2 linked regions of the Macaca mulatta genome follow. The protein of the gene in region 2 interacts with the protein of the main gene of each other region in a biochemical or structural test. Links are inferred from orthologs where the notes say so. Each region holds a gene or a part of one and is shown on either strand. Other genes may lie near its edges.

Region 1 (3,650 bases), on a different chromosome or scaffold from region 2:
TTCCTTTTGTATTTTTCTCTCTGAATTTTTTATATTTTCTTTTTATGAAGATAATCAATTAAAAAATAAGCATAGGATGAATGGACCTTCTTTTAGTTAGACACTCAACTTTTATTTCATAGGGGTCAGTAACTAAATACAGTATGTTACTTTAAAAATCTCACACCGGGTGTGGTGGCTCACGCCTGTAATCCCAGCACTTTGGGAGGACGAGGCAGGCGGATCACGAGGTCAGGAGATCGAGACCATCCTGGCTAACATGGTGAAACCCCGTCTCTACTAAAAATACAAAAAAATTAGCCAGGCATGGTGGCGGGCACCTGTAGTCCCAGCTTCTCAGGAGGCTGAGGCAGGAGAATGGCATGAACCTGGGAGGTGGAGCTTGCCGTGAGCCAAGATCACGCCACTGCACTCCAGCCTGGGCAACAGAGCAAGATTCCGTCTCAAAAAAAAAAACCCAAAAAAAACTCACACCTGCAATGAAATCAGTATATGTGTTATTCTGTCCCCTGTAAATGAATTCCTGAAGTACAAACATAGGGAAAATATACCATCTGGCCTTTACAATTCTTCATTTACCTCCTGAACTGTCTCCATAGGCGGTGGGGGATCCTTATTCCTGCAGAGATTGACAATGACCCATGTGACGTTCCGAAGGAAGGTGATGGGAATGGAGGGATTGATGAAGGACAGAAGAGGTTTGACAACTCCCAGTGATATGACATAATCTCTACATTGAGGACCATCACCTACAGAAATGAAAATTGTATTTAAAAAAAACTTACATTCAGGATGAGAAAGTCTGAAATGTATGCAATGGCTCATGTGGGAACACTGACGTTCTATGTTTCCTCACCATTAGTCAAAGGCATCAAATGTTGTTTCTCCAGATTTTGATTTGGGGAACATAAATTTAACCTACCAATGCTAACAGCAAATTGTATATCCTTTTCAAAGAGTATCATCTTAAGTTAGTACTTATGAAGCAAGAAGAGAGTCAACCCACATTAAATTCAGAGGAAACATAGTATGTAATGGCTATGCCAATGTAGGAAAAAAGTTAATTTAGATTCTTAACAGGATTCCTTTCAAACCACTTACCTATAATGTTTCCCAAAGCCCATACTGCTTGTTCACAAACATTCTGATGTGGTGAATGAAGAAGTCTCAGAAAAAGAGGTACTGCATCTGTTATAAAGAAAAACTAATATTTATACTAGCAACATGTTGAAGAGTTTACAGATTTCAGCTCAAAGAAATTGATCAAATACAGAGCCCGGCATATTGTAGCTGCCCAATTATAGTTTGCTGGAAGAACAAATGTGGCAAATATCTTTACCCTAAAAATAATCAATTTCAGTATTTTCCCCTAGTAATATTTAAGTAGTTTTTTTTTTTTTTTGCTGTATCTGTGTATTACTCCTGGGTTCACGTCATTCTGCCGCCTCAGCCTCCCAAGCAGCTGGGACTACAGGCGCCCGACACCACGCCCGGCTAATTTTGTTTTTGTAGTTTTAGTAGAGACAGGGTTTCACCGTGTTAGCAAGGATGGTCTCGATCTCCTAACCTCGTGATCCACCCGCCTTGGCCTCCCAAAGTGCTGGGATTACAGGGGTGAGCCATGGCGCCCGGCCTTTGTTTGTTTTTGAGACAGGGTCTCACTCTGTCGCCTAGGCTGGAATGCAGTGTGCAATCTCGGCTCACAGAAACCTCTGCCTCCTGGGCTCAAGCGAACCTCTCGCCTCTGTCTCCTGAATAGCTGGGGCTATAGGCACACGCGCCACCATGCAAAGCTAATTTTTTAATATTTTGTAGAGACACGATTTTGCCATGTCACCTAGGCTGTTCTTGAACTCCTGAACTGAAGTGATCTGCTTGCCTTAGCTTCCCAAAGTGCTGGGAGTAGAGGCATGAGCCATCTGTGGGTCTGGTGAGAATGGTATTCTCAATACATGATTCAATGTAACTTAGTGCCATATCACATGCTACTTAAAATCACCTTGATTACCACACCTAAAGTTAGCTAAGTGTCCCATACTATAAGAAACAACATACGTGGTGATATCTAGTACTTTTCTAAAGAGCTTGTGTCAGTTTCATTTAACAATAATTATTAGCACACCTTGAGGAAAGTAAAATTTAAAATGTCATAAGCTAAAAGGCAGAAGCCATTCAGCATCCTGAAGATATCAGAAATGGAAATTTAAAATCCTGTTATCACAGCATGATGTCTACTCCAAAAGATAAAACTCTACTCTTCTTTTAGTAACCACAATTAAAATTTTTTCATGATAGATTAATAATGGCTATGAAAAAGATATTGGTCATCAAAAGTAACTTATAAAAGTCATCATTTAAAAAATATTACAAGATAAAATTTATTACAAAATTCTACTTCCTTGCCATCATTAAAAAATAAAAAGTTCAGACAATAAGGAATTTACTTACTAGACTGCACAACAGCTTGAGTCTGTGCAGAAGTTCCTGATGCTATGTTAGTTAATGCCCAAGCAGCTTCAAACTGTAATGAAGGACTGTAAAAAAAAACAGTAAAACATCTTTTTAGACACTAACTACCACTTAAATTCATGACTCTTAAGACTGATATGATATGGCTATCCTTTGCCTTGTCCTTGAATTTCACCTTGTTATAATCCAACTGCCTGCTAGCCATCTCTACTTTTGTTTTTGTTTTTGTTTTTTTGAGATGGAGTCTCGCTCTGTCACCCAGGCGGGAGATGCAGTGGCACATCTTGGCTCATTGCAATCTCCGCCTCTGGGGTTCAAGCAATTCTCGTCTCAGCCTCCCAAGTAGCTGGGATTAAGGTGCACACCATCACACCTGGCTCATTTTTGTACTTTTAGTAGAGATAGGGTTTCACTATGTTGGCCAGGCTGGTCCTGAATCCCTGACTTCAGGTGATCTGCCCACCTTGGCTTCCCAAAGTGCTGGGATTATAGGCAAGTGCCACTGCACACAGCAGCCATTTCTACTTTAAAAATCTCTTTGACCTCCAAAGCCAGTCACTATGAACCTGCTTCTTTATGTCCACTGGTATTATAACATTCAGCCAGTCATTATTTCCCTTGACTTTGACTTCCTCTCCAGACACATCTAATCAATATATCATGTCAATTTTACCTCTTAAACATTTCTTACATTTATATAATCACCCCTAATATCAAGTGCTAGTTGAGGCCCTAATCATCTCACTTTAACCACTATCACAGGCTCTAGGCTGGTCTTAAAGCTAGAACCCCATCTGTCTCCATTACACCATCTGCTTTACATACTAGGGATATTACAAGGCTGTATAATTTTGTTGAAAAAACAAGATCACTATATTTTTGAATAGTGATGGAAGACCTCACAAAGAAAGTGGCAACTGAACTAGCTTCTCAAAGATGCGTTTAAAAAGAAAGGCAGTGACAGCTGGAAATAAAAAAGGTATCATGCATGGAAGGATCATGATGTGTAGGAATGATAAGGATTAGATCAAGAGAGCTGAAACTAACTAAGAAGCAAATAACAGGGTGTTTGTGCATGTGTGTGTGTGTTTTAGGATGGGAGTGAGGAGTGTATTCCACAGATACGCTAAGGATGGGGCATTGCAAAGGGGAGGAAAGAAAATAATGTTCAAATAAATAGT
Region 2 (4,362 bases):
ACTGTATGCACATTTTTTTCTTTTCTTTGAGACGGAGCGCAATATCGGCTCACTGCAACCTCTGCCTCCAGGGTTCAAGAGATCGTCCTGCCTCGGCCTCAGGAGTAGCTGGGACTATAGGCATGCGCCACCACGCCGGGCTATTTTTTTGTATTTTAGTAGAGACGGGGTTTCACCATGTTGGCCAGGATGGTCTCCGACTCGTGATCCGCCCCGCTCGGCCTCCCAAAGTGCTGGGATTACAGGCATCAGCCACCGCATCCGGCCCACATTTTCTTTATATGCATTTTGCTAAGAAAAGGCATTCATGAGTTTCTTCAGGAGTTCAGAACTAAAACAGGTCAAGAACCACGATCCTTTATGCCTGTACACACATTCTTTCTGGTTCGAGGTTGAGCCTTTACAGGGTGAAGCATTTCCATTCTGTCAAGGATGGGGTGTCTAAGTGTAGGATTCCCTTAGCTCACCCCTAAGCAAGTCAGACTTAGTACAGGTCTCAAGCCCTATATAAGCAGGCCTAGGGGACTCCTTGGAGAGAAAGCTGCTTGTAGGGACAACGGCAGTCAGGAGAGCTTGAGCTTATCAAGCCACTAACCAGCTGTACGACCTTGGACAAGTTCCATACCCTCTAGGCTCCTGAACCCATTCCTTACCAAGCCACTAACCGGCTGTGTGACTTTGGGCAAGTTCCATACCCTCTCTGGGCTTCAGTTTCCACATCTACACATTTCAAGTGGAGCCACATGGCCTTACGGATCCGTCCCAGCCAAGAGCAGGGTACCAAGCCGACCTAGCCATTAAAGCAGCTTCCTGCGGGCGCGGCGCAGGACTTCAACGGTCCCCCCTCCCCCGCTCACGCCCGCGAAAGCCTCGCTCAACACGCCCCTCGGAGCGACGGCGCTTACCCAACCGCAGCCCCAGCGGTCGAACCCAGCTCCGCCTCTTCCCGGGGGCGTCCCATCGTGCCCCGCGCCGGGCTCCGAGGGCAGCCGGGCGCCTCCCGCCTTCCCGCGCCCCGACCCCGAACTCCTCTCCCCAGTTCTCCCAGGCACCCTATCCTATCAACGCCCACTATCCCAGCCAATCGCGCAGGCTCCGAGTCGTGCCTTCGGTCCACCCTCCTCGGCGCTCAGCCGGTCTGAGCTCAAGGCCTTTACCAAGCCCAACCCAATCAGCGGCGGGCTCTCTCCGGCCCCATCCCAATCTCCCTCCCCTCGGCCAATTAGGGCGCTCCATTCCCCTGCCCGCCCAGCCACCCGGGCCTTGAAACCAGCAGGCGAATGGGCGAAAGGCGGCCTTTCGACGCTGAGCGCCTGGCCAATTGGGGATTCCGCGTGGCCAGAACAGCGGCCAATCGCCGTGGAGCGCGGCGCCGCCGCGGCGAGGTCCGGCCCGAATATCCCTCCGCCTTCCTCCCGCCCTCGCTCCCTCCCTGCGTGCCGCCTCTCACTCACAGCTTCTCTTCCTTCTTTCTCCCTCCGCCTCCCGAGCACCAGCGCGCTCTGAGCTGCCCCCGGGGTCCCTCCCCCGCTGCCAGCAGCCCATTCGGAGGGAGGAAGTAAGAGAAGAAGAGACTAAGGGGAGCTGGAGCGACTACCCAGAAAGAGCCGGTGAATGGGCTTGTGGTGACCCCCGCCCCCCACCCCACCCTCCCTTCCCACCCGACCCCCAACCCCCATCCCCAGTTCGAGCCGCCGCCCGAAAGGCCGGGCCGTCGTCTTAGGAGGAGTCGCCGCCGCCGCCACCTCCGCCATGGAGCTGATCACCATCCTCGAGAAGACCGTGTCTCCCGGTAGGACGCAGGAGCCGGGGGTCGGGCTGAGGTGATTGGGGTGGGGGAGGGGAGGCCCGGCCCCTCTGACCCCGCTCCGTCTCCCACTTTCCTCCCCCCAGATCGGCTGGAGCTGGAAGCGGCGCAGAAGTTCCTGGAGCGTGCGGCCGTGGAGAACCTGGTGCGTGCTACCCCGCCGCGCCCATCCCGCCGCGTCCCCATCCCCTGCGTGCGGGGCCTTCCCGCCCTCCGGGAGGCCCAGGCCTCGGGAACCTACCCCGCCCCATCCCGTCCCCCTCCCCCCCAACCCGGTCCAACCTAACCCCGCCATCGGGAAGCCGGTGGGTGTGTCCCGCCCCGGGCCCTGCGACTGGCCAATGGCGGGGCGCGCCGGGCTGCCTGTCGCCCAATCATTGCGCGGCCTGAGGGCGGCGGTGCAGCGGGAGGGAGAAAGAGGGAGGGAAGGGAAGTTAGGTTGCGCGGCGCTGCGTGTTCAGCAGAGGTGGGGGTGGGGGAGTCAGGCCTAGGGGCCATGTGGAAGCTCTGGGCCCGGGTGCCCTCCCTGTCTGACCCCGGCCGGCTTATCCTTCCTGTCCCGTGGCCCCTGTGGCTCTCCCCACCTATTTCCTAGAGCTCTGCCCTTTCCTCGCTACCTTGGTGTGTGCTCATGGCCAGGCCTGGCACCCGACTGCCTCTTAACCCATTTCCACTAATATTTTTCCCTCTTCTGCCCGGTTATTCCTCTCGGGGTATTTTCTTTTTCTTCCTTTTTTTTTTTTTTCCTTTCCTTCTGACCTGGATGAATAGAAACCTAATCACTAGGGATCTGCACCCAGACAACAGTCTGAGGCTCATCTTTGAGATCGGGCCTGTTTCCTGATGAAATCACAGAGGAAAGTTACTCGTTTTTCATATTTTAAAATTTAAGGGGTCCGGAGAAAATGAAGCTAAGTCCGCTAGAGACTGGTCCTTTGTATAAAAATGTAGGATGGATTGGTTGAAACAGCCTAGATGCCAGTTAAGTTTCTCTTTGGTGTCCATCTCCTATTGGGAGATGGGGTCAGAGGGAAGGATTGGATGATGCTTGACATCTTTGAGAAAGGTAATAGGAAATAAGTCTGAATAACATTGTAACCATATGTGTTTCTTTGTGTTATATAGGCAAAATGTCAACATCAACAAAGTGACAAGGCTTATTTTATACAGGCTGCCTTTGAATGATTTTTTTTTTGTTCTTCATATGTGCCAATTTTTACAACTAACCTGTTTATCCTTTCCTAGAATAGATTTTTCCACTAGTATAGGCTGATAATTCCATTTAGGGTATTATTCCTGTTTCTGCTTTTGCTAATTTTGCAAGAAGCTTTTTATCTTATTCCTAACATTCTTAACATTCTTTAGTGGTACATAATTAATAAAACTTTTAAGAATTATCTTCTGCTGTGATTGCAGAACTTGTTAGCAGTAAGAAAAATGTATCTGCTTTTGGCTTTTCCTGCTAACTTTGCTGTTTGGGCACGGTTTTTTTGCTGGAGAGAGAGGTGTGTGTGTTAAATTTTTAAACAAAGGGAGTAGTTTTTGAGGCCTGTGGATTACAAAAGGTTACAAAAGAACATGCTTTTCAGGGATCCACTGTATTCCTCAACTAAAGTCCAAATGTATAGGAGCAAGTAATTGTTGATTATTAGATACAAAGTTATTTTTCTTGAACAGCTTGCCTGAAGATTTTTTTCTTTCACTTTTTCCCTATTTCTAAATATCTTACCAATTTTCCTTGTAAATCTGCTTTTTTCGTTGTTCCCTTTTTGCTGAGTGCCCACAAATAAAACGGAGGATGAGGCTCCTAAGTTTGTTTAGGCTTATCTATATTTCCCTCTCTCATAAAAGATCACCTCCTTCCATGGGATGAAAAGCTACCCTGCTGCTGCCATGAGATGGAAAGTTGGATCATTCTTTTGGGACCAAGGTTTTTGAAATTTAGATAAACAGTTTTATTTTCTACCCGCATCGTAACAGCCATTCATTCAAGTACCAGACATTATTAAGAATTCTTGGGACACCTCGGTATACACAGAAGACTAACTACTACCATACTCTAAAACCTTGCAATTCAGGGAGTATAACGTGACAATTTGGGTACTAGGAATGATTTTGATAGGAAAATCTGCAATTCCTCATTAAGTGCTAGGCTCCATGAGAAAGGTGGAAGACTTCCTGTTATATACTAAGTAACATTTTTATAGAAGTCTTGTAGTAGGTATTTTGTGGTTTCCTGAGATGCTTATGATATACCAAAAAAAAATTAGACATTAGTTCCCCCCCCCACCTCACCCCTCCTCCGGTGGTTCAGTGCTCCATAAATTATTCTCAGTTGTGGAAATTCCCAAGATAATTTTATTTACAAATTTATCTTCCCTTAACAGCCCACTTTCCTTGTGGAACTGTCCAGAGTGCTGGCAAATCCAGGAAATAGTCAGGTTGCCAGAGTTGCAGCTGGTCTACAAATCAAGAACTCTTTGACATCTAAAGATCCAGATATCAAGGCACAATATCAGCAGAGGTGGCTTGCTATTGATGCTAATGCTCGACGA

The links.
Region 1: the proteins of KPNB1 (region 2) and KPNA3 form a complex in vitro, tested with the Homo sapiens proteins (2 studies listed by BioGRID and IntAct, with this or other methods). The link is inferred for Macaca mulatta from reciprocal best matches to the Homo sapiens genes KPNB1 and KPNA3.

The regions. Positions count from the first base shown.
Region 1 is NC_133422.1:28,953,981-28,957,630, forward strand, and holds part of KPNA3 (importin subunit alpha-4), read right to left. Parts: intron 2,535-3,650; coding exon 2,449-2,534; intron 1,189-2,448; coding exon 1,102-1,188; intron 750-1,101; coding exon 580-749; intron 1-579. UniProt on the Homo sapiens protein: Functions in nuclear protein import as an adapter protein for nuclear receptor KPNB1. Binds specifically and directly to substrates containing either a simple or bipartite NLS motif.
Region 2 is NC_133421.1:62,381,961-62,386,322, reverse strand, and holds the start of KPNB1 (importin subunit beta-1), read left to right. Parts: upstream 1-1,412; 5' UTR 1,413-1,752; coding exon 1,753-1,792; intron 1,793-1,893; coding exon 1,894-1,952; intron 1,953-2,210; exon of another isoform or gene 2,211-2,873; intron 2,874-4,194; coding exon 4,195-4,362.